Linked DNA regions of Notamacropus eugenii. The protein of the gene in region 1 interacts with the protein of each later gene in a biochemical or structural test. Links are inferred from orthologs where the notes say so. Each region holds a gene or a part of one and is shown in the gene's direction. Other genes may lie near its edges.

Region 1 (7,635 bases):
TCCACACTCACTCACTCTGACAACTTTTCTCTCTGTCTCTGACATGGCCCCTTTCAGACTACTGTCTATTTTCCAGGAGGTTTGCTCACTTTTCTTCTCCACTCTGCTAATAGAAAGACAATGAGTCCTTAGGGAGCAAAGGGGTTCAAAGGCTGTACTTGATGCCTAGACTCTCATTAAATCCTTTCCTTGTGCAAACGTGGGGAGACTTTCAAGGACCTAGATCTTGAGTTTGGGGCCTGGGAAAATGGTTGGATTGGCTGCCGGGGAGGCAGTGACTTTGGCCAGAGAGCAAAAGGGGAGGGGAGTGTGAGCCCTGGTCCTGGACCCGCCCCTTTCAGGCCTCATTCCCCTGACTCATCCCCACCCCCAAGCCCTTCTGTAACAATCATTTCCATTTCCATTTGGGCACTGCTGAAGGTCAGAAGCACCTAGATCCCCTGTCAACAAGTGAGAGGGGCCTTGAGCCCTAGTCCCTACATTCTCATTTCAGTTCTCCCCAGTGCAACAAGATGTAACCAAGGGACCCAGCACAGGTGGCCATGACAGCTGGCACCATGAGCACGCCAACCCTTTTCCTTGACTCAAATCAGGTTTTGTTGACTTACAGTGGTCGAAGTGCTGAGGTACCGTCTCTCAGAACCATGTCACCAGACCAGTCTCTGAATTTGGGGTCTATCTGCTAGAATGGGAGAGGCTGGTATCCCCCCACAGGCTTGCAAAAAGTGTTGGACCCCTTTTATGTGGCCTGAAAGCCCTACCCTAGAGTCCTCCCAAAAAAGTATTGACATGGTCTCCAGAAGGTCCCCCTTTCAACATACGTGTGAGTTGCGACAAGGAGGGAGGGTGTTTTCTAGCTATCTCCACGTTCTCTCCATATCAGTCCAGTTGCTCAAGTGTTTCTCCATTTGGGCTTGGACAGACCTTGCCTGAGCTGCCTCAGAGATCAATGTCCACCTGTCACAGTAGCATCTGAATTCCATCTGAAACCGAGCCAGCTTTTTAAAATGAATGCTAAAGACCCTTCCAGGGTCAGGGAACTCACCCAGGAGAATTTAGACATAGCCAGGAATAATTATAAAACAGATTAGAAGGCAATAAACTCTATGATCCCAAGTGTATAAAAGTATTAAATGCTATGAGACTGGGTGAGGAAGAAATGACTTTTAACCAGGGGCATCAAGGGATGCTTCAGGGAGAAGGGTAGGAATTCAACAGGTGGAGAGGGAGGAGGATGAGCAAAGACAAAGAGACAGGAAAGGATGAGACACTACAAAGCAGGGTGAATCATGTAGTATAGAATGAATGGAGGCCAATGGGAAATGAGGCTGACAAGTACAGAGGTGGCTGATTGAGTGCAACGATAAGGGTCTTGGGCTGTATTCAGTGAGCAATGGGGTACACACTCCATGGTTTTGAACAGAGAAACAATGTGATTACAGCTGTACATAAGGACAGAAAGGCTAGGATTAAAAAAAAGCCTGAGAGAGCTAGACAGGACTTTGGGGATCATAGATCCACAACCCACAGTTCACCTCATCCAACCTCATTTTACAGATGAGGCAATTGAGGTCTAGAGAAGTCAAATTACTTCCCCAAAGTCTCTTGGGTAGTTTCTTTGGTTGTGGGTTTCAACCCAGGTCCTCTGTCTCTAGGATCAATGTGCTTTTTGGTGTACCATGTTGCCTAAGCAGTGGAGAAAAATGGACTTGGCTTCAGAAGATCCCAGTTCAAATCCTAACTCTGCTCTTGACTATCTGCCTGCTGAGATATTCTGTTAGATAGATAAAGCATTCATTAAGCCATATTGTGGGTCAGGCTTTGTTCCCCTCTGCTTGCCACTTGCCCATAAGGATCTTATATTCTAATAGCCGAAGATCACACATAAAGAGAGATCACATTCTTGGGACCATGACATGGGCAGCCTAGGAAATGGAGGGGAGGCCCTATTCACCTGCAAGATAAAGGCAAAAACACAAGGACTTGGGGGAGAATCTGGAATCCACAAGATTACTGGTGGGGAGAAAGAGGAGGTGATGGTCCCAGGAGAGGCTGCATGGATCCATCTATCATCCATTCATGGATGGATCTGGGGATGTACATTATTTCTTATGTATATTCCAAAAAGGACATGTATATCCCCTTAGCACAGCACTTGGCACATAGTGAGGACTCCAAAAATGCTTGTTGACTGATAGATTTGGGGCAAGTCACAATTTCCTTGAGCCTCAGTTTCCTTATATGTAAAAGAAGGAAGTTAGACTAAATGATATCTCTGAGGGCTCTTCTAGCTTTACATTCTTTTTCATTTATTCATTCAATAAACAGTTATTAAGTGTCTACTATGTAAAAACACTAGAATTAAGAGAGGTTGGGGAAGACTTTCTGTAGATTTTAGTTAAAACTTAAAAGTTAGGGAGGTCAGTAGTCAGAGTGGAGCAGTTAGAGCATTCCAAGTAGGGGGGACAACCAGAGACCTAAAGTTTTGTTTGTGGTACAGCCAGGAGGCCAGTATCACTGGACCAAAGAGTACATGGCAGGATTCAAGGTATGAGAAGGCTAGAAAATTAGGAGGGAACTATGGGTTATAAAGGACTTTGAATGTCAAACACAGCATTTTTCATTTGATCCTGGAGGCAACAGGGAGCCAATGGAGTTTACTGAGTAGGGGGATAACATGATCAGACCTTCACTTTAGGAAAATCACTTTAATGGTTAAGTGGAAGATGGATTGGAGGGGGAAGAGACTTGAGGACCGCAGACTAACCAACAGGCTACAGCAATAGTCTAGACAGGAAGTAATGAGGGCCTGTGCTAGGGTGATGGCAGTGGAGAGAAGGGGGCTTATTAGATGTTGCAAAGGTAAAATCAACAGGTCTTGGCCACAGCTTGGATATGGGAGGGGGGAGGAAGGGCAAGACAGTGAGGAATCCAGGATGACTCCCAGGCTGTGAGCCTGAGGGCCTGGGAGGATGGTGTTGCCCTTTACAGTCATATGGAAGGTAAGAGGGGGAGAAGGTTTAGAGCGAAAAATAAGGAGCTTTGTTTTGTTGGACATATTGACTATAAGATGTCTACTGAACATCCAGTTTGAGATGTCTGAAAGACAGCTGGATATCTATGATCCTAAATTTCCTGAGGCTATCTACTTCAGCCCAGGACACCAGGATAGAAAAGAGAAGAGAATAAGGGCAGAAGCTCTTGGTGGAGAGGATGGTGGTCCTGTGTCGAAATCTTTTTAGCAGGAGTTAGTTTAGCCTTTGGCTGGGAAAGTTATTGCCCCTGACGGCAGGGAGAAAGGCTAAAAAACCCAAAGGCCTAGGTGGGAAATAGTAAAAACAGAAGGTGCCAGGGAGGCTCTCCACTTAAGACAGAGGACCAGCCACCCTTCTCCCAATAAGGATTGTCAAGGCTGTTGATGCCACATAAAGCTCTGACCAGTGACTTAATCAGATCACCTCCATCTGCTCAGTGATTTTGTCACAGCCTGACACATCCACTCCGAATGCTGCCTTCATGATCTTAGGTGAGTCACTTAACCCGTGTGTTTCAGTTTCCTTATTGGTAAAATGAAGGGGGTGGATTAGATGACCTCTCTAAGGTACCTTCCAACTCAAAGTCTATGAATCTATCTTTCTTTGAAGCCCCATGGTCCAGGGCAGAGGAGTTAAACACATGTTGGAGACAGACAATACACTCTTGAATGGCTGGAAGCAGATTAAAGTGTAACTGGGTAAAATGTAACAGAAATATTAAAATGAAATAAAATAAAGATATATTGCATTTTAAAACTAAGTCAATAAATCCCTGGGGGGGGGGGGTTCCTTATGTAAGGATTAATGGATCCTATTTCTGTGAGTTTGATAGGTCTAAAGGAGTGAGGGGCTGGTCAGATCAGCCAACTCTTGGGTTAACTCTTTACTTGCTGGATCTAACTTTAGGGTAGACTGAGCCCCCTCTTGAAATCACAGTCAAACATCTAGGCCACCAACCTCCCTCTAGCGGGACCAGCACATGACTGATGAAGGTCAAGGTGGAAAGAGCAGTGAATTTGGAACCAAGAAAGGGAGGACAGAGAATCTGGGCATGGAGTAAAGTCTGGGAAAAGACACAGAGAGGCCAGATGGAATGTTGATATATCCTCTAGTTAGGTAATAGCAAGTAGGCCAGTTTGGCTGAAAATGCTCTATTTTCTGGGTGGGAGAGTGGGAGGGAGTGAAGAATAACCCATGAAAGATAGGTTGGAGTCAGGTTGTGAAGGGCTTTAGAGGCCAAAGAGAGGAATTTCTATTTTCTCCTAGAGGCCATAGGGAGGCAGCCAAACTCGAGCATGGAATAGCCAGGGCCATGGTCAAGCCTGGCCTTCCATCCATCAGCCTGTTCAGCCGTTAACTCTGTGACCTTGGCCAAGATCATCTCCCTCTCTGGTCTTGTCTGTTGATTTGTAAAATTAGGGAGCACGCTGGGAAAAGGGTCTTCCGAAGGGGGTGGTCTTCGTTTTGCCCACCTTTCTCTGAGAGTGGAGGTCAGTCTCCTTTTCCATCTTTCCTTGGGGCATCCAAGCGCTTCCTCCAGCACCTACACTTAGCTCGTGCAGAGGAACGCCAGGAGAACCCGCCCCGTCCAGTCCTGGAATTTGGAACGGAGATCCCGCGGAAGGGCGAGAAAAGGGTGACCGGTATCCCTTCCTCTCCCGGCCGAGGGGCGGGAGGCGGGGTGGCAGTTGGGCCCGGTGCCCGGTGCCCCCGCTCTTGGGCTCCCCCGCGGTGCCCCCGGGCCGCCGGCGGGGCGGGGAGGAAGGGTAGAAAAGGGGCGGGGAGGGGCGGGGAGGGGGCCGGAGCGCTCGCCGGCCGCTGGCTCTCTAGCTCCCGGGCTCTCCAGCTCCCTGGCTCTGAAGATGGCGGCGGGTAGGCGCTCCCCGAAGAGCGGGCTACTGGAGCTGCGGGCTCCGGGCAGCGCGGGGCCCGGGCCCTGGCTACGGGTCTTGGTCAGCCTGGCAGCCGATGTGGTGACGGTGAGCGCCGCGCCGGCTAGCGGAGAGCCTGAGCCGGGGCCGGGCTCCGGCTCGGAGCCTGCGTCCGCGTCCTTGCCCCAGCTCAACGGCTCGGACTCCGGGGCGCCCGCAGCCCCCAGAGCGCCCCCAACGCCTCCACTGCCCCACGCGCTGCTCAACCAGAAGCGAACCGTGCGTGTGGTGAAGCAGGAGGCGGGCGGACTGGGCATCAGCATCAAAGGTAGCGGCCCCAGGGGCACGGGCTGGGGGACACGGCGGGAGCACAGGGGCGGCAGCGGGACGTGGGGAGGGCAGCCGAGCCGGGCTGAAGGTGAAGAAGCCCAGCATGGCAGAGCGACAGAGACAGGAGGGGTGAGGGGCGCTCTGCGTCCTGGCGCCGTGCCGGGCACTGCCCTGTCTGTCGGATTGACTGCCTGTCTGGCTTTCGGGGTCCCAGCGTTTGCGGGAGGGTGACCGCGGTGGGAGCCGATCAGACCCTTGAAGATCACGACCTGGCCACATGGAGACAAACGCAAGTTCTTACCCAGTTTCTCGCTCTGCAAACTTCACGGGACAGCGGGGCCTGGCAGGCTGAGCTGGTGGGCAGGGCCTCCGCGAGGAGAGCAGCCCAGTCTGGGGACTGGCTGGGAGCCTGGCTCCAATGGTAGCCTCATTGCTTCCTAGTCCGAGTCTCCGGGAGCTCCACGGAACCCTCACAGGGTAGTGCCTGTCCACTGTGGTCTAAACTCTCCAGTCCAGCCTGTTGGCCCTGGCTGGAAGTGAGGCAGGACTCCCTCTGCCCTCTGCTGTGCCAGTTCCCCGAGCCTGTTACATAGCACTCCTCGACCCTCCCACCTTTGTCCTCACAGTGATGCTCTGCTCCTGGTAGGTTTTAAAGCTTACAAAGTAGGTTCTCCACCATTTTACATGTAAAGAAACCCCAGAGAAGCTAAGGACTAGGAAGTATCAGAGGCAGAATTGGAACCCAGGGCTCCCAGCTCGAAGACCAGAACTGCTGCCGTCTCCATCTGCCTTGTCCTTCAGCTTTCCATAAAATTAAGGTCTGGCTTCCAGGCCATTATAAAGGTGGGGGAATCTTAGTCCATGATCCCTCCCACTTCAGTCCTGGTTTCTTCATCTCCGCTAATCTTCCCCTTCCCTTATTTTTCCCCCTTTCATGTCTTTCTCTTATTTATTTCTCTTTTCTCTAGTCTCTCTTTTCCCTGACTTCTCTCTCCTAATTTCTCTCTCCCCTAAGAGCTATGTGGATGCTTATGGGTCTGGATAGGGTAACAATTCTCAGAGGGCTGAAGGTCCCTTTGTCCTGGGTCCCAGAGCCATATTAGGACATTTCTGGTCACAGATGGTTTTTGTAGCAGAGAACAGACAAAATATCCCCAGACATCAGCAGGAAGAGCCATTAGAGGTAGAGTTAGAATATTGGGGGGGAAGGGGAAGAATCACCTCTTCCAGACTGATATGTGAATGGCAGGATTGAATGCTATCGTAGTCTTAGGATAGAATTTCCCATCAGACAGCATGCAGCAAGTACCGTCCACTGACCCCTTTATCATTTTGTAGAGAGTGAAAAGAGGGGAGATGAATTATCTTAGGTCACACAGGAAATTAACAGCAGTCGAAGAGACTCGTACCAAGGTCTTCCAGTCCTCAGCCCACAGCTCTTTATGAGTACCCCATAATCCTCCTCTGCCTTTGCTCATTGCTTGTGCCTCCCTCCTCCTTTTCCATGGAGTTGGCAAAGGTGGACAGCTAGGTCTCCATTGAGAACAGAGCCCTGCCCTTTCCAAGTGGGAAAGACACACTATCTATAGTTCTCTCTTGGATTTGAGGATGAGTTCTTGTCACCTCAAGGGAAGTCATTTCTCCTGAACCTGGTTTGGAAGTTTGGCTATTGAGGGTTCATGACAGTCTCAGCTAATGCTGTGTTTAGAGTTCTACTAACTTTTTGCTTTGGAGAACAGCTCATGAACTTGGAGCTATCCCTTCAGGTCTGGTATTCTTCTTGGAGGTAGGGTCCAAAGGCCATAAAACCTCTTAGCTAAGGCCACTTCCTCTCCCCCCCTAACCACACATACACAGCCTTTCTGCTAAATAAGTTTTTTGAGTCTAATGTACTCTCTGGGGTTGTGCTAAATCCCCTCCTCTTCCTAGGCCACAACCTGTCCCTCCATAAAATGGGGAGAGAACTGTTAAAACAGAATGAGTCTTGGACCTGGGAGTCAGGAGACCTGGGTTCTAGTTCCAGTTCTACCACTGACTTACTGTGTGACCTTGGGTGGGTCACTCCCCCTCTCCAGCCTCAGCTTCCCCTGTGTAAAAGGAGAGGCTTGGACGAATGACCTCTGAAGTCTCTTCCAGTTCTAATGGTCTCTGGTTCCATTTTTAGGGTCCTCCTGCCTTTTCCTATACTTTTCATAATGCTAGTAGGTACTTATTTAATACCTGTCACCCCAATTCCCTGGCATTGATGCCTGTTTCCTTATCTCCTGCGTGTGCCTACATATATACCTGTCTGTGTGTGCATCCTCAGGTGGCCGAGAGAACAAGATGCCCATTCTCATCTCCAAGATCTTCAAAGGGCTGGCAGCTGACCAGACAGAGGCTCTGTTTGTGGGCGATGC
Region 2 (7,882 bases), on another chromosome or scaffold:
CTTTATAAAAATTTAGTAGTATTTTATTTTTCCCAGTTACATGTAAAAACAATTTTTAAAATTCATTTTTAAAACTTTGAGCTCCAAATTCTCTCCCTTTCCCCACCTCCCACTGAAAAGGCAAATAATTCGATACAGGTTATACACAACTAGTCATGTAAAACACTTCCATAATAGTCAAGTTGTGAAAGAAAACAAAAAAAAAATCAAGAAAAATAAAGTTTTTAAAAAGTATGCTTCAATCTGCATTCAGACACCATTAATTCTTTGTCTGGGGATGGATGGCATTTTTTATAAGTCCATCGGAGTTATTTTTTTAATTTCTAAAGGGACACAACTACATAAATCACTCTTTTCCTGTCTTCAGAATCTTGACCCTATAAAAGCAGTTCCACTTGAGCTGTCTTTTTGCCATTGAATACTGTGCCTCTTTTATCCAATTGTCACTCATCCCTTTTCAAACCCCATACTTGGATTATTCCCACCATCACCTTATCTGCTTTTATTCCCATGCTGCTAAATGGTACAGAAGGAAATCATTCCTGTGCTAACCCGGTCCACTATATCTCCAGTGGTGGTGTCTCCACCTGTGGTGATGGCAAGATATAATCATCTTTGTAGCTGAGAAAGAATGGAGGAATATTATGAAAATTGAGTAGATTGAGGACCTGGGAAGTCTGGGTTTTGACTGAGTATTGATATACTGATACTCCTTCAAAATTCAGACTTCCTAGTTCTTCAGTGTGAGTGTGAGTATTTTCTTTTTGACTTCCCCCCATTGAAAAAAGAAAAGCCAAATCCTTGTAACAAATGTGCATGGTTAATCAAAACAAATTTCTACATTGATCATGTCCAAAAAGACCTTGTTCTGCATCCTGAGTCTATCACCTCTCTTTCAGGAGGTAGGTAGCATTAACATGCTTTATCATTGGTCCCCTGTAATTATAGTTGATCATTACATTGATTAGAATTCTAAAGTCTTTCAACATTGTTTTTATAGTGCTGTTATAGTATAAATTGTTCCACTGGCTCTGCTCACTTCATTCTGCATCAGTTTATACAAGTCTTCCCAGGTTTCTCTGAAACTGCCCCTTTTGTCATTTCATAGGGGATAAACAGTGTTTCATTGCATTTGTTCGGTCATTCCCTAGCTAATGGGCACCTCCTTAGTTTCTTTGATGACACAAATTGCTGCTATATTTTTGTGCAAATGGGTCCTTTTCCTCTTTCTTTGATCTCTTTGGGGTGAGGTTTTTTTTTTAAATAAAGATATAACTTATAATTCATGCCACTTACCTTCCCTAGGAAAAAAAAAATTATTTTCGCATGCAGTTTTTACAAAATTCTAGTAACAACAGAAAATAATCACTATGGGGCAATTTGTATGGTAGAAGTTAGAATTTGGGACCTTTTTAACTGGCAAGAGGAAAAGCTGCTCTTTCTAACCTTAAGAATCTATAGTACTCTTCTTAGAAATAAATCTACCAATCTTCCCCTTTACGTTCTTCCCACTCTAATGTATTTTTGTATAATGGAAAACAAGATATGGAAAATACTTTATTTCTGTTCTGGGGGGGTAAGAGATTGTTAGCTACTGGAGGGCAAGGACTATTTTTTACCGTTCTTTGTATCCACAGTGCTTAGCACAATTTGTGGCAGATAGATGCTTAATAAATGTTGACTGACTGAACAGATGGTTCTACCTGCTTATTATTATGAATTAATTTATTTTAATGACTCAGTTTCCTCTAGATTCTTTTGGGGAAACTATTCTACGATCTAGTAGATTTTATCGTTGGGGAAAGATATCCTAAAATAATGTTAAGTTGTACTCATGACCCATTTGGGATTTTTTGGGAGTTGTTTGTCATTTCCCTCTCCAGGTTATTTTACAGAAGAAGAAACTGAGACAAAGAGGGTTAAATGATTTGCCTAGGGTCACATAACTAGTGTCTAAGGCTAAATTTGGACTCAGGAAGATGAGTCTTCTTGATTTTAGGTCTAGTAGTCTATCTACTGCACCACTTAGCTGCCCCAAATCCTAAAATATCCAGGGCTTTTAGTCCTCAAAGCTTGTAGATGGTACTAGGGATGACCCTTTTCTACTTCTTCCCTTCTTTTCTTTCCCTTTCTACCCACCCTTGTTTGACTTAATTTTATTTGTATTTCCTAGAGAGGGTTCTTTTTTTTTGTTTGTTTTTGTCTTTTGCTTTCTTGTTAACCAGTAGATAGGAGCAGGAAGGATGAGGACTAGTGAGGTAAGGTCCTAAGTCTGCATAGTGCATTTTTGAATTCCCTTTGTAGGGGAATGTTATCATTTGTCTAAACATGATGTAAACAAGAAAATGTAGAGAACAATAGTTACTAAGAGCTATTTTAGGTAAAGAGAATAAGAGTTATACTTGTGATGTATGTGATACCTTTTGCCACCCTTCATTCCAGTTACTTACGTTGCATGCTATTTGTCTCTGCAAAGATTTATACATCTCAGGTTACATACAGGTTACCATGTGCAAAGCCAAAGTAGGGGGTACATATTTCTAATGTGTGAAGTCCTGGATTAGACCGAGTTTCCAGGGTGAGGAGATTTCTGGGGTATCATAGAGAAAGACCCAGGAGAGTCAGAAGTGCAGCCTGGAAAGGAATGAAGATGTCGAAGTAAGGGACTTGTCCAGTCATTTTCAGTTGTGTCTGACTCTTTGTGACCCCAGTTGGCTTTTTTTTGAGGGGGGGGGGAAGATACCAGAGTGGTTTGCCATTTCCTTCTCTAGCTCATTTGACAGATGAGGAAACTGAGGCAAACAAGGTTAAGTGACTTGCCCAGGGTCACACAGCCAGTAAGTATCAAAGGCCAGATTTAAACTCAGGTCTTCCTGACAACAGACGCAGTACTTGTTATCCACTGCACCACCTAGCTACCCAGGGCCTAGGGATAACTGAAAGGAAAAGAAGGAATGAACATTTACTAAGTACCTACTACACTCTGGGCACTGTGCTAAGTGCTTCATAAATATCCCTTTTAATCCTGATAATAACCTTAGTGCTATTATTAACCTCATTTTACAGCTGAGGAAACCGAGGCAGCCAAGTTAAGTGCTTTGCCCAGAGTCACTCAGCTAATAAGTGTGTCTAAAGTCCAATGTGAACTTGGGTCTTGCTGACTTTAAGTCCAGATCTCTAGAGTGTCTAGCTGCTTCCAGTTGAATAGACTGCATGCTGTTTCAGAGGAAGGTCCCTAGTGGATTGGAGAGTCCTAGGATCAGAACTGGAAGAACTTTAGAGGTCACAGATGAAGGAAGTCAGGACCAGAGAGGTTAAGTAATTTGCTCCAGTCACCTTTCCAGGAGGGTTGTAATGAAATGGCAACTAAGTGGTAATGTACAAGGCAGGTTGGGGAAATCTCTCTTGCAGACTTAGCTCCCCCCGCCACCCCCAGCTCCAGAGCAGGCTTCCCTGTACCGGTGTCTCTGCCTGTAGTCTGGGAAAGTGGAAATGTGAAAAGTTAGCATTCTCAAGGCGGCACAATCCAAAATAAAATGTTTGCTCTAAATTTAGCTGGGCTCCTTCTGCTCACGAGTCAATGTGTACTTTAACCCTGGACAACCCAAGTTGCACAAGTAAGTTTAGAGAAACAACTTCCTTAATTATTCCTGTGTCCAGTCATTCTGTTTGCTTTGTGGTAAGGAGTCTCCTTATTCTCTGCCTGAGAATCACATAATCATGAGGTCTTGAGAGCTGAAGGGAACGTTAACAATTGTGTAGTGTGACCTGTTCATTCCATACCTGAGCCTTTCCCTCTTCCCTTTCTCTCTCTCCCTTCTTTCTCTTCCCCTTTGTCCGTCCCTTCCTTCCTTCAGTCTTCCAGTGAGAATCCTGTTGCTCTAGAAAGAACAATGCTTGGTGCTGAAGCCAGGAAAGCTCCCGTTTGAGTTTACGTTTATTTTACATGCCCTGTGAATGGGTAACTCCCCAAAGGAGTACATTATGAGTGGGATAGGTTTAGTGAAGACTTCTCAGATTGTAATTCTTCTCCCAGGGGTGAGGTAAGGCCTGAAGGCTCAAGGTTACAATATTTTTAGAATAGAATAGTTCCATATAAGGATGTAAAACTGTAGTGTATTAGGGTTTCAATGATTGGACAAAACTTACATAATTTCTCCATGTCTTTATTTCCAAAGGGATTGGTTAGATTTCGTGTCTAGAATGTGAGATCATATTCTCAGCTAATGAGGATAATGGTCAGTGGGGGAGGAGGGACTTGCGTAACGAAGGGTCTATATAAATCTTTTCTTTGTCTTCGGCTTTTCTACTCCTACAGGTAAGCCCGGCTTCTCCAGAATTGAATAAATCACTTTTCTGTCATCACTTTGAGAGGCCTCTGAGTAACTGATTTATGTAGGGACCTGAGCCATCCCACACAATTAGCTCAGACAAATGGAAGGCTACTTACTGCCTGTTCCCCATTCAAATCACCCCCCCCCCCCTTCTTATTCTCCATTGTCTGAATGCTAGGTCCCAGCCATTGCTTGTTCTCCTGGGTATGTTCCCCCTCCCTGGTCGTACATCAATGTGCATTTACATTTACCTGCCCCGCCCTGGGGGTGTGTTGGAGAATATTAAACAGCTCGTTAAGCAGGCTCCCATCAGAACCAGTGCCTCTGGCTACATCCTGTTATCCCGTCTGCAAAGCTGGGAGGGAGTGGTGCTAACCCTGTGGAAACAGGGCCCCTTCCTTTGTTTCTCATATTCCCCCTTCTGCCTCGTTCTCTCCTCTTCCCCTTCAGTCCTTCCTCCGCACCCGCTTCCTCCTCTTGCTGCTTTCCCCTCCCCCCTCCCCATCGCCCCACGTGCCCCTCGCGTGGCCTCGGGCGGGGGCGGGGGCGCTTCCCCTTTAAGAAGCCGAGGGTCTGGGCCTGGCTCCGCTGAGCGGGCCTCAGTGCGCACGTGGTTGGCCATGGAGGTGGGCGCCGACGCCTTTGAGCAGAAGCTGCCCCTGCTGGAGGAGCTCATTCTGGGCTCCGACTTTCTGGGTACAGAAGCCCCCACGCCCCTCCCCTGGTCCGCGCGGCCCGGCAGGGACGTCCCGAGGGAGCGAGGGCCCGGGCGCCTGTGGCGTCGCGGCTGCGGGCCTGGGCTGAGCGCTGGGCGGGAGAGGCCCCCCCGGGCCTGGGCAGCTGCCCCGCGTCCTCCTGTGTCACTGGGGGGGCGGGACCCGGCTCCACGGCCCACGGCCGCGAGTGTCCGGCCCTTGCGTTTTACAGGCGAGGGAACGGAGCGGGCAGAGCAGGGAGGCCATGCCGTCCCATCCCACCCCATCCCATCCCTCCGGGTCCCCCGCCAGTTAGTGGTAGAGGCGCATCGGAACCGCTTCTGCTCCGTGGTCTTCTGACTCCCGCCCCGCTGCCCTGGCTTTGGGTTAGGGCTTCCCTGCGGGCTGGAAGGTGTCTGCCCTTAACCGGGAGCCGAATTGCCCCCTCGGAGGTCCAGCTCCCAGTGAGTCCTGAGCCTCAGCCAGGGAGGCTCGGAGGGCTGGGGCCAGTTGGGCTGTTTGCCAGTCTTCCTGTTTCTCCTCTCCTGGCCTTCGGAGAGCCCAAGCTTTGCAGGCTCCTGAAGGCAGCCCCGGACCCCGTCCTCTGCTTAATTCTGAGCCCCGCATGCCCATTGGTCCTGTTGTCCCCAGGTCTGCTTACTGGTGGACAAGCTTCCTTGGTCACCCCTTCGGTTAGGTCAGAATCTGGCCAAGAATCTGTGGGAGAACGTAGACAAGAATGAGAGGAGATGAGGAAACATACAAATCGATGACGTCACATCCATTTTTGCTCCCCAATATCGTTCTGCATTCATCTTTTTAGAAAACTTATCTTTACTTTTAGTTGCAAATTCTCTCCTTCCCTCCACCATCCATTTGTAAAGGCAAGAAATACGATATCCGTTCTACATGTGAAGCCATTCGTTTTGCATTAGGCTTACAGCATCCTGCCTGCTGAGTGCTCACTAAATACTGCCTGGTGACTAATGTGGTCCTCTGTTCACAAATGGACTTCCTTTCCTTTTATGAATTTCACCTGTAGGTTTGGACATAGAATTTACAGGCTTGAGGTCCATCTTTCCAAAAGGCCAGCAAACAAGGTAAAGTTGGAAAATCCTTTACTCTCAGTGTACAGAAGAATCCTGGTGGGCTGCTTCAGACAAACTGAGACCTGGGAAAGCCCTTGGCTTACAAAGGCCAAGGTCTCCCACAGCATCCTGGGCTATGGCCAGTTGTTTTGAGTTAGCACTCTGGAGGAGAGAGTGAGGCTAATGACTTTGCAGGTGTTTGCCTCCCTGAAATCTAATTCACTTGCAAGTCAAGACATTACTGCCCTCATGCTATTGGTCCTCTTCCAGAATGAAGGACAGACAACAACTATAGATGAGGAGTAGGAGAGCCCCAAAAGTTATGACTTTGCCAAGGTCACACAGCTAGTTAATGGGAAAGGCATTACATTAAAACTGTAATTTAACTTTCATACTAATAATTACTAGCCTGCATCCATCCATCCATCCATCCATCCATCCAGATAGACCTGGACCTGGGAGTGAGAAGCAGCCCAGCATGGTGAGTAGAGATTGAAGACCTGAATTCAAGTCCTCCTTCTGACACATACTGGCTGTATGTCCCTGGGTAAGTCAGGCAGTTCTCTGAGATTAAAAATTGTGGAGAAGATGGTGATTTGCATCTGTTGGAAGAATCCTTTTTTTTTCTTGCAAGAGAGGGTGAAGTAGCAACTTAAACATTCAATGTGCCATGAGTACTGTGCTTAGAACCAAAAGAAAAATGATTGAGAATAACTGAGTTAGTAAAGCCAATCTAGGTGCTGTGGGAGCATTCATCCTCAATTGCATTGTTCTGTATTCACCTAATTTAAACTGGAAATTATCTTGATTTAAGAGTTTAGTCATTACAGCTCTTGAATGCAAGTTCTAATATCCTTCCTTCATTCAAGAAAACATGCACCACAGGTAACTTTTTCTGCTCCTGATGGTTAGTCCTCACCAACTCTTCGGCTAGGAAATTCTCTTTACTCCAATAGTGCATTTCCAAACTCCAATTTATAATCACCATTAGAAAGGTGTTTAGAAAATGTTAACCTATTAATATGAATAGCAATTCTCTTGAAGAGAACTGCAAAGCTCATCAGAGTGGTTATCTCAGGGATTCTCTCACCCAGGTGCTTCATTGTGTAATCAATCTCATAGCAATACAGTTTATCTCTTTTAAGCCAGGAAAACTGACTTGACTGGCTCACTCAGCTACCAAAAGCAACTATAAAGCCTTCTCTGCTTTTCTTTCTGAAGCCAGAGATGGCAGTAGAGAGCAGTAGACCCTTAGGAGACGCCTCACCTCTTTCCAACGATAGGTGGCACTGAAGGGCAACAGATGTCAGGAAACCCTTAGCCAATTAAGTCGAGTCTCTCCTGCCAACCGGGGATCACATAGCTGAAACCTGTCCCCTGACCGATTCTTAACTGCCATCGCTCGGAGAGCACGGGGTTTGGCCCCCTGCTGTGTGTCGTCACAGATTCCTTTTTCCAGCGCCCCGTGTCCATTTCTGCCTACTTTAATAGCTTAAAAGATAGCCTCCTACCTTTCAGTGACCCACATTTCCCTCATGAAGGAGTAACCCCCAATTTCCCCTATCACATCAACAATCCTTTAAAAATCTTACATCAGCAGCCAGCTGCTGATACAATTTCTTGTTATTTTCACCTTCTTTAGTCATAAAACATCTACAGATGGGATGAAAGACCATAATGCTCTGAAAGCTCTAAAAACTTTATTCACTCATTCTTTGCTGTTGTAGAAACTGTGTCTTTACACTCCCCTTTCTCCAGGTTTTAA
Region 3 (7,037 bases), about 220 Mb from region 1:
TTATTATGAAACATGATTTTAAAGCATTTTAAAATATTTATATGAAAATAGTTAATAATAAAAGATATGGAAATGTGGAGAATCACAACATAATAAAATGGATGCATAATATAGCTGAAAAAACAGATTTTGCTTGTATTAGTTAACAATTTCAATCAAACTAGCAAGTATTTTGGTTCATAATAACTAACATTTATATAGTACTTACTATGTGCTGACCAAGGTACTGAGTGCTTTACTAATTTTATCTCTTTTGATCCTCACAACACCCCTGTATATTATTGTCCCTGCTTTACAGATGAGACAAAAGGAAGTTAAGTGACTTGCCCAGACTCACACAGTTAATAAGTGTCAACTATATGCAAGACCTCAAGAGTAAATTCCATTGGGATACAAAACTTTTAAGCAAGATATTATCTGTGTTTCCAAAGGGTTTACAATCTCATTTGGTAAACAACTGAAGACAGCATGAAAGGTATTTAACAATACCATCATTAAATAGCAGTTCAAGACAATTAGAAAAGAAGTTCCAAGGTAACACACAAATGGGAGAGGGACCAGATCCTTGATTTCAGTGACATATGGAATTCTGGGTTAGCACCTTCTCTGCAAATTAAGATTTTCCATGAGGTCAATGACTTGCCTGGAATAGCACAGCCAGTATAGGAAGAACTTAAAACTAGATCCATCCACCTGGCTCCAAAACCAGTTTTCTATCCACTGCACCAAGCTCTCTTTGATAAATGAACTAAACAAAATGAGAACTGTATAAGTTTAGAGAAATCAGAGTTACTTCAGTCTGGGGTAGTAATAGAAAACTATATAGAACAAGCCTGATATGGGCTAGATCTCAAGAAATAGGTAGGATTTTTATGGACCCTAGAAGACAGGGCATTCCATGAGCAAGAGTAGTAGAGGCAAGAGGCCTCACCTTAAGGAGAGGGCTGGGTACATAGTTTGGTTTATGGAGTAAGTGGTAGCTAAACCTGGAAAGTCAGGTTGGGATCATGCTAAAGTTTGGGGAGTCACTGAACATTTTCATGCAGAAGCAATCAATGATTAAAGTAGCATTTTAATAAGATCAGTCATGCTGCAAAGGTGCTCACTGGACAGGAGGGGAGGACTGGGGTCAGAGGGATTACTTAGGAAATTACTTCAGGGGTTAAGACATGACATAGGGGGCTTGACATGGAGTAACAACAGTGGGGATGTTAAGGAAAGCTGGATTCAAACACTGCAAAGGAAGACTCAAGTCTTTCAAAATGTACTATTGGATATTCCCTTTAGAACAATGTGTTTAGATGACAATCCAAATGATTACATGGGTGTGTTCCTCATAGAGATCATTTTAAAAACTACTTCTAGGAAGGGGAAAAAAACTATTTTAAATACGAAGTCATGACTTATGAAATAATTAAGAACAATCTAGGTGGGTATGTTGAACTTTCTCCTCTTGACCTGGTATACTTAAGGGAAAGAAGCCATATCAAAGCAATGCTAACAATCCACCTCAATCTCTCATAAGTAAATGAAGGAGTTAGAGGTAACCTAGTAAGGTTTCATTTTTAAAAGTATGCAAACCATATATTATATTAAAGGACCAAAATGGTTATTAATTGTTCCATTTTTTTTCTTTTTTGGTTTCTTAAAATCACTGCAACTTAGCAAATTCAACTGAGAAGTTCTAATATTTATCATCAGACAGAAACTCTATGTATTTTATTCTAAAGATCTATCAGCAATAATATAAGTAGCTTTTCGGTTTTGAATATTCATGTTGTTAACACATTTCTAAAACAGGGAATCAGAGTACCCTGTTATAAGAATTTCCTAAAACTTGGCAGGGGGAGGGGGTTTGTTACATTTAGAGTCTTATACAAGTCACATACTTCCATATATTTAGAGCATTCCTGCATATGATTATAGTCAATTTATTGACAACTAAGCCTTTAAACGCCCATACAACCAAATATTTTTTTATCTCTCACAGAAATATAATCAATAGTCTACTGTCCTTCTGCGATATTTAAGGCCAGTAGAATCTCTTCCTGTAACACTTGACAGTGATGGTGACTGATCGACAGCCTTCCTGTCCTCTCCCCATCACAGAGCAGCACCATTTCCAATCCTTTCCAGGGCCCTGATCTATTTTGAGACTCTCTCCAGATAAGGAGGAAGATGGGCATGTGCTTAAGCTTGACACAGGTTTGTAGTTACCTTAGGATGGTTACTCCATTGGTAGGAGGCAGGCTGGTAAATCTCAGGGCAGAGTTAAACAAATGCAGAATAAACAAATCACTCCCTGATGGTGTCCTCTTGTAGGTCAGGTTTGGGCCTGAAGCAATTTTTATGGCTGAATTCAAGAAATGCATAAGTTATATGTCTGAGAAGTGACCTTACAATATTTAACAGACATTGTTTATTGCATCTGCACTGCATGCTTGGAGAGCTAAGCACTCCAGTATGGTTGTAAAAACCAATTCCTCTGCTAGTGAAGAATTTGCCTGCCATCCAGGTGCCAGATTTCATTGCAGGAGTGCCGTTTCTTATTCTTATAATGTGGGCATACATGTGAACATACATATATGTTCATTATTCAGTATTTCTATTTATACATGGAATTAAAAGCCTGTATCAAGGCCATATAGCTGCAGATTCATGTTTTTCTTCCTTGCATTTGCAGATTTACTTTTATCTAGTCTTGTGCTGCTTTGGGTGCTGGTGATAATACCAAGATAATACCAACCCTGCCTTCAGAAGGGTTAACAACTGGCTAATTTGAAACATGTTCTTTTGGCAATTCAAAAGTCATCGCTATACTTCTTTAAATGCTTTGGGATTTTAATCCTCTTGAGTATTTACATATTTTCTCTTCTCATCCTTACAAAATTAATCCCAGAGTTTTAAGAATCTGGGAACTTGGGCAAGGGAGAAAACAACTGATCAAACTGAGAAATCAGAAGTCCCTGTTCATTACGTCAACCCAAACTGACAGCACTTTTTTCTGTTTGTTTTGAACCTCTTAGAATAATAAATCATGTGAGTAACAAAACAAAATACAGGTGTTATTACTGAGTGTGAAAGGTTTGAACTGTAATTAAACACGCTCTTTTTTGTAGGAAGTGTCATTTACTTTGTACGCTAACATTTGCGTTTCCTTAAACCTCTCTTTGTATTATCCACACACGGTTGCATCATACTTACACATTCATTAGCTGGGATTTGGATTTGGGTGTGTGTGTTTTTCCAATTAGTCTCCATCGTTAGATGCACAACCTTCGCTTCTTTTATGTAACTACCGCCTGGAGCAGCCCGAGCTTCTTAGAAGCCTAGCGCCCACAAAGCGCTCCTGACAGATGCGTGGTTATCCCCCCTGCGAAACCCGTAGCGCTGCTTGGGAGTTTCTCTCTAGCGGATAACACCCTTCTCTGATCCCCCTGAACCGACGGGTGTGAGGCTGCCCAGGCCCCTCTGACCAGGGGACACCGCCAGGTTTTCGGATCCGAGAATCAGACAAACAGCCCAACTCCTCCAGCCCGACTTTCCAAACCGCCCTTCTCTTTAACACCCTCAGTCTCCTCCCCTCCGAACCCAGCAAGCCCTTTGCAGTGGGACGGAGCACACGTTTCCTTCGCTAAGGATCCAGAGCCCCCGTCCCCCGTTCCCCCAGCGCAGGGCTGAGATCCGTGCTCATGCCGCCCCCCCTCACCAGGCTCCCCGGAGCCACTTAATTGCCCGTGGGAGGGCAGTAAGGCGGAGGAGGGGGGTGGGGGACAAAACGGGGGCGTGCCTTGGCCCCTGATTGGCCGCAGGACACTGACGCGAGGCCTCCGGGGCTGGGTTGGGGGGAGCTAACTGTGGGTTAGGGTGGGGTGCTGGGTGCAGGAGCTGCCAGACCGGAGCGCTCAGAAACATGCTGAAGTGTTGGCAGCGACAGCAGCTACAGCCGCAGCCTGCGAGAGGAGGGAGGCAGCAGCCGGCGCCGAGGTCCGGGGCTCCGCGCTGCTGCACGCAGCTGGCCTGACCTGGCCCCGGCCCCGGCCCCGGCCCTGACCTCTCTCGCCGTCCCCTCCCACCTCTAGGCTCTCCGGGCTCCGTCCCCACCCCGAGACTTCAGCTCCTGCCTCCTCACCATGGGAGATGGTGCGCTCGGCTTAGGCTACGAGCCCTACAACCTGTCGTCTCCTTCGCCGGCCCCCGACGGGGCGGGCGGGGAGGCCGCGGCAGCCACGGCCGCCCGGCTGCTGGTGCCCGCCTCCCCGGCCGCCTCTCTGCTGACCTCGACGACGCCGGCGCCCGCGGCCCTATCCCAGCAGTGGACGGCGGGCATGGGCATGCTCATGGCCCTGATCGTGCTGCTCATTGTGGCGGGCAACGTCCTGGTGATCGTGGCCATCGCCAAGACGCAGCGTCTGCAGACGCTCACCAACCTCTTCATCATCTCCCTGGCCAGCGCCGACCTGGTCATGGGGCTGCTCGTGGTGCCCTTCGGGGCCACCATCGTGGTGTGGGGCCGCTGGGAGTACGGCTCCTTCTTCTGCGAGTTCTGGACGTCGGTGGACGTCCTGTGTGTCACCGCCAGCATCGAGACGCTGTGTGTCATCGCCCTGGACCGCTACATCGCCATCACGTCCCCGTTCCGCTACCAGAGCCTGCTGACCCGGCCGCGGGCGCGGGCGCTCGTGTGCACCGTGTGGGCCATCTCGGCGCTCGTGTCCTTCCTGCCCATCCTCATGCACTGGTGGCGGGCGGACGGCGACGAGGCGCGGCTCTGCTACAACGACCCCAAGTGCTGCGACTTTGTCACCAACCGCGCGTACGCCATCGCCTCCTCCGTGGTCTCCTTCTACGTGCCGCTGTCCATCATGGCCTTCGTCTACCTGCGCGTCTTCCGCGAGGCGCAGAAGCAGGTGAAGAAGATCGACCGCTGCGAGCGGCGCTTCTACGGCGGCCCCCGCCCGCCGCCCTCGCCCTCGCCGCCGCCGGCGCCCCGCCAGCCGGGCCCGTCGCGCGCGCCGCTGGCCAACGGGCGCCCCGGCAAGCGGCGGCCGTCGCGCCTCGTGGCCCTCAAGGAGCAGAAGGCGCTCAAGACGCTGGGCATCATCATGGGCGTGTTCACCCTCTGCTGGCTGCCCTTCTTCCTCGCCAACGTGGTGAAGGTCTTCCACCGGGACTTGGTGCCCAACTGGCTCTTCGTCTTCTTCAACTGGCTGGGCTACGCCAACTCGGCCTTCAACCCCATCATCTACTGCCGCAGCCCGGACTTCCGCAAGGCCTTCAAGCGGCTCCTGTGCTGCCCGCGCCGGGCCGAGCGGCGGCTCCACGCCAGCGCCGGGGAGCTGTCGCGCGGGGGCTCCGGGGCCGCCACGACCGGGGGCTGCGGCAGCTCGGCCGCGGGCTGCGGCAGCCCGTCCCCCGCGGCCGCCGACGCGGAGCAGGGGGAGCTGCTTCCCTCGGCGCCTCACTACCTGGAGCCCTGGGCCGGCTGCAACGGCGGGGCGACCGGGGACAGCGACTCCAGCCTGGAGGACAGGGACGGCAAAGATTCGTATTCGGAATCCAAGGTATAGGACCGGCCGCTGGGCAGGGGCAGGGGGCGGTGGGGCGGAGGAGGGGGCCGGGCTTGTGTTTTCTTTTTACTTTCTGGCGGGGGCTACAGGGCAGGTGGTTTCGCGGTGGGGGGCCGTCGGGGAGGAATGGGGGAGTGGGGCTTCCCCCCCCGCCCCTTCCCCACACCCCCACCCAGGAAACTGGTTTGGAAGTTCAAGAGGAAGAGAGCCAACAGCCCTGAACTGTCTTCACAGGGAAGGGAGGATCTGTGTTTACTCAAGACCGAAAGCAGGTGATAGCGTATCCTTCATACCTCTTCTGAATCATCCGCGACAAACAAAAGCAACTGGACCGTTGAAAAGAAGGAAAGTTGGGGACGGGGGGAGTTGGGATTTTTGGACTTTTCTTCCTGACTTCTGGGGGGAAGATGCCTGTTTTACCTTTTCCACTCTAATTCTGATCCTTCAGGCAAGGATTGAGAAAGTGTTAACTGGTTAGATAAGTGGGATGGAGAAAAGAAGATGGGATTCAGAAAAAAAAAAAGAAAAAGAAAAACCATCCACTTGGTTTCTCCAAGAGCTGCACTTAATAATCCTGCTTTGGAAGACTATCACCTGTTCCCATCCAATTCCCGGGAACTGGACCAGTCAAAGTAAGAGAAAAGGAATCTGGAAAGTTTGATGGGACAGGGTTTTTCTCGGTTCCACGAAAGATTTTTGTCATTATTGTTTCAAAGTCTGAATGGTGACATCTTTAAAGAAAGCAAAGTGGAAAGGTTGCAAAAATCACGTTCACCTTTTACGAGTTTTATTTAGAACAAACAACCTGGCTTTCCTGTTTCGTCTTGGCAATGGTGATGAGGCAGAGGGATTCCTACCTCAAACTGTGCATATTGCACAGGGATTTTTTTTTAAAGATATGTTTATATTAAACAGATTATTTATGTATCAATATTAGTTAAAGGACCAGGCGCCAGCCTCTGTGACACGTGACTCTCACAATTTGGAGAGAGGAAACAGTCTTAGGGTCGAGAAAAATTACTGCACATTTGGAAAAAGAAAATAAAAAGAATGGTTCAAAATGCTTTTTTGCACAGTGTTAGAAATTGTAAAGTCCACTGAAGATATTACTTGCACACACATACACACACACAAAAAAAAAACCATTTAATGAGGGGAGGAGAGGGAGTTGAAAATAATCTGAAATCCAAACTCTACTTTTTTGTCTGTTATATTACTGAGTTGATGTTTTATTGAAAAAAATGACTTTTTATACTATTTTATCATGGTACTGTAACTGTATCCATACTAAAAATTTAAATATAAGGATTTTTTTTATTATTTTTGTACGTCCAAGTGCTCACGTGAATCTGCTGTTAATTTAGCACTTGTGTGTCCTTTCAATTTCCTCCTGTGTATTTTATAAAGTATTTATACTCTGGTGCAACTAACTACTGTGTAAGTAAATGGTCTATGTGCAATAAATAC

What was found. The genes of interacting proteins can lie anywhere in the genome.
Region 2: the proteins of SNTA1 (region 1) and proto-oncogene Mas interact in a test that uses a peptide from one of them, tested with the Homo sapiens proteins (2 studies listed by BioGRID and IntAct). The link is inferred for Notamacropus eugenii from reciprocal best matches to the Homo sapiens genes SNTA1 and MAS1.
Region 3: the proteins of SNTA1 (region 1) and ADRB1 interact in a test that uses a peptide from one of them, tested with the Homo sapiens proteins (2 studies listed by BioGRID and IntAct). The link is inferred for Notamacropus eugenii from reciprocal best matches to the Homo sapiens genes SNTA1 and ADRB1.

The regions. Positions count from the first base shown.
Region 1 is NC_092872.1:417,512,347-417,519,981, reverse strand, and holds the start of SNTA1 (alpha-1-syntrophin), read left to right. Parts: upstream 1-4,633; 5' UTR 4,634-4,897; coding exon 4,898-5,234; intron 5,235-7,544; coding exon 7,545-7,635. UniProt on the Homo sapiens protein: Adapter protein that binds to and probably organizes the subcellular localization of a variety of membrane proteins. May link various receptors to the actin cytoskeleton and the extracellular matrix via the dystrophin glycoprotein complex.
Region 2 is NC_092873.1:253,575,207-253,583,088, forward strand, and holds the start of proto-oncogene Mas, read left to right. Parts: upstream 1-4,882; 5' UTR 4,883-5,030; intron 5,031-6,071; exon of another isoform or gene 6,072-6,129; intron 6,130-7,882. UniProt on the Homo sapiens protein: Receptor for angiotensin 1-7. Acts specifically as a functional antagonist of AGTR1 (angiotensin-2 type 1 receptor), although it up-regulates AGTR1 receptor levels.
Region 3 is NC_092872.1:192,519,135-192,526,171, forward strand, and holds ADRB1 (beta-1 adrenergic receptor), read left to right. Parts: upstream 1-4,037; 5' UTR 4,038-4,133; coding exon 4,134-5,564; intron 5,565-5,804; coding exon 5,805-5,846; 3' UTR 5,847-6,621; downstream 6,622-7,037. UniProt on the Homo sapiens protein: Beta-adrenergic receptors mediate the catecholamine-induced activation of adenylate cyclase through the action of G proteins. This receptor binds epinephrine and norepinephrine with approximately equal affinity.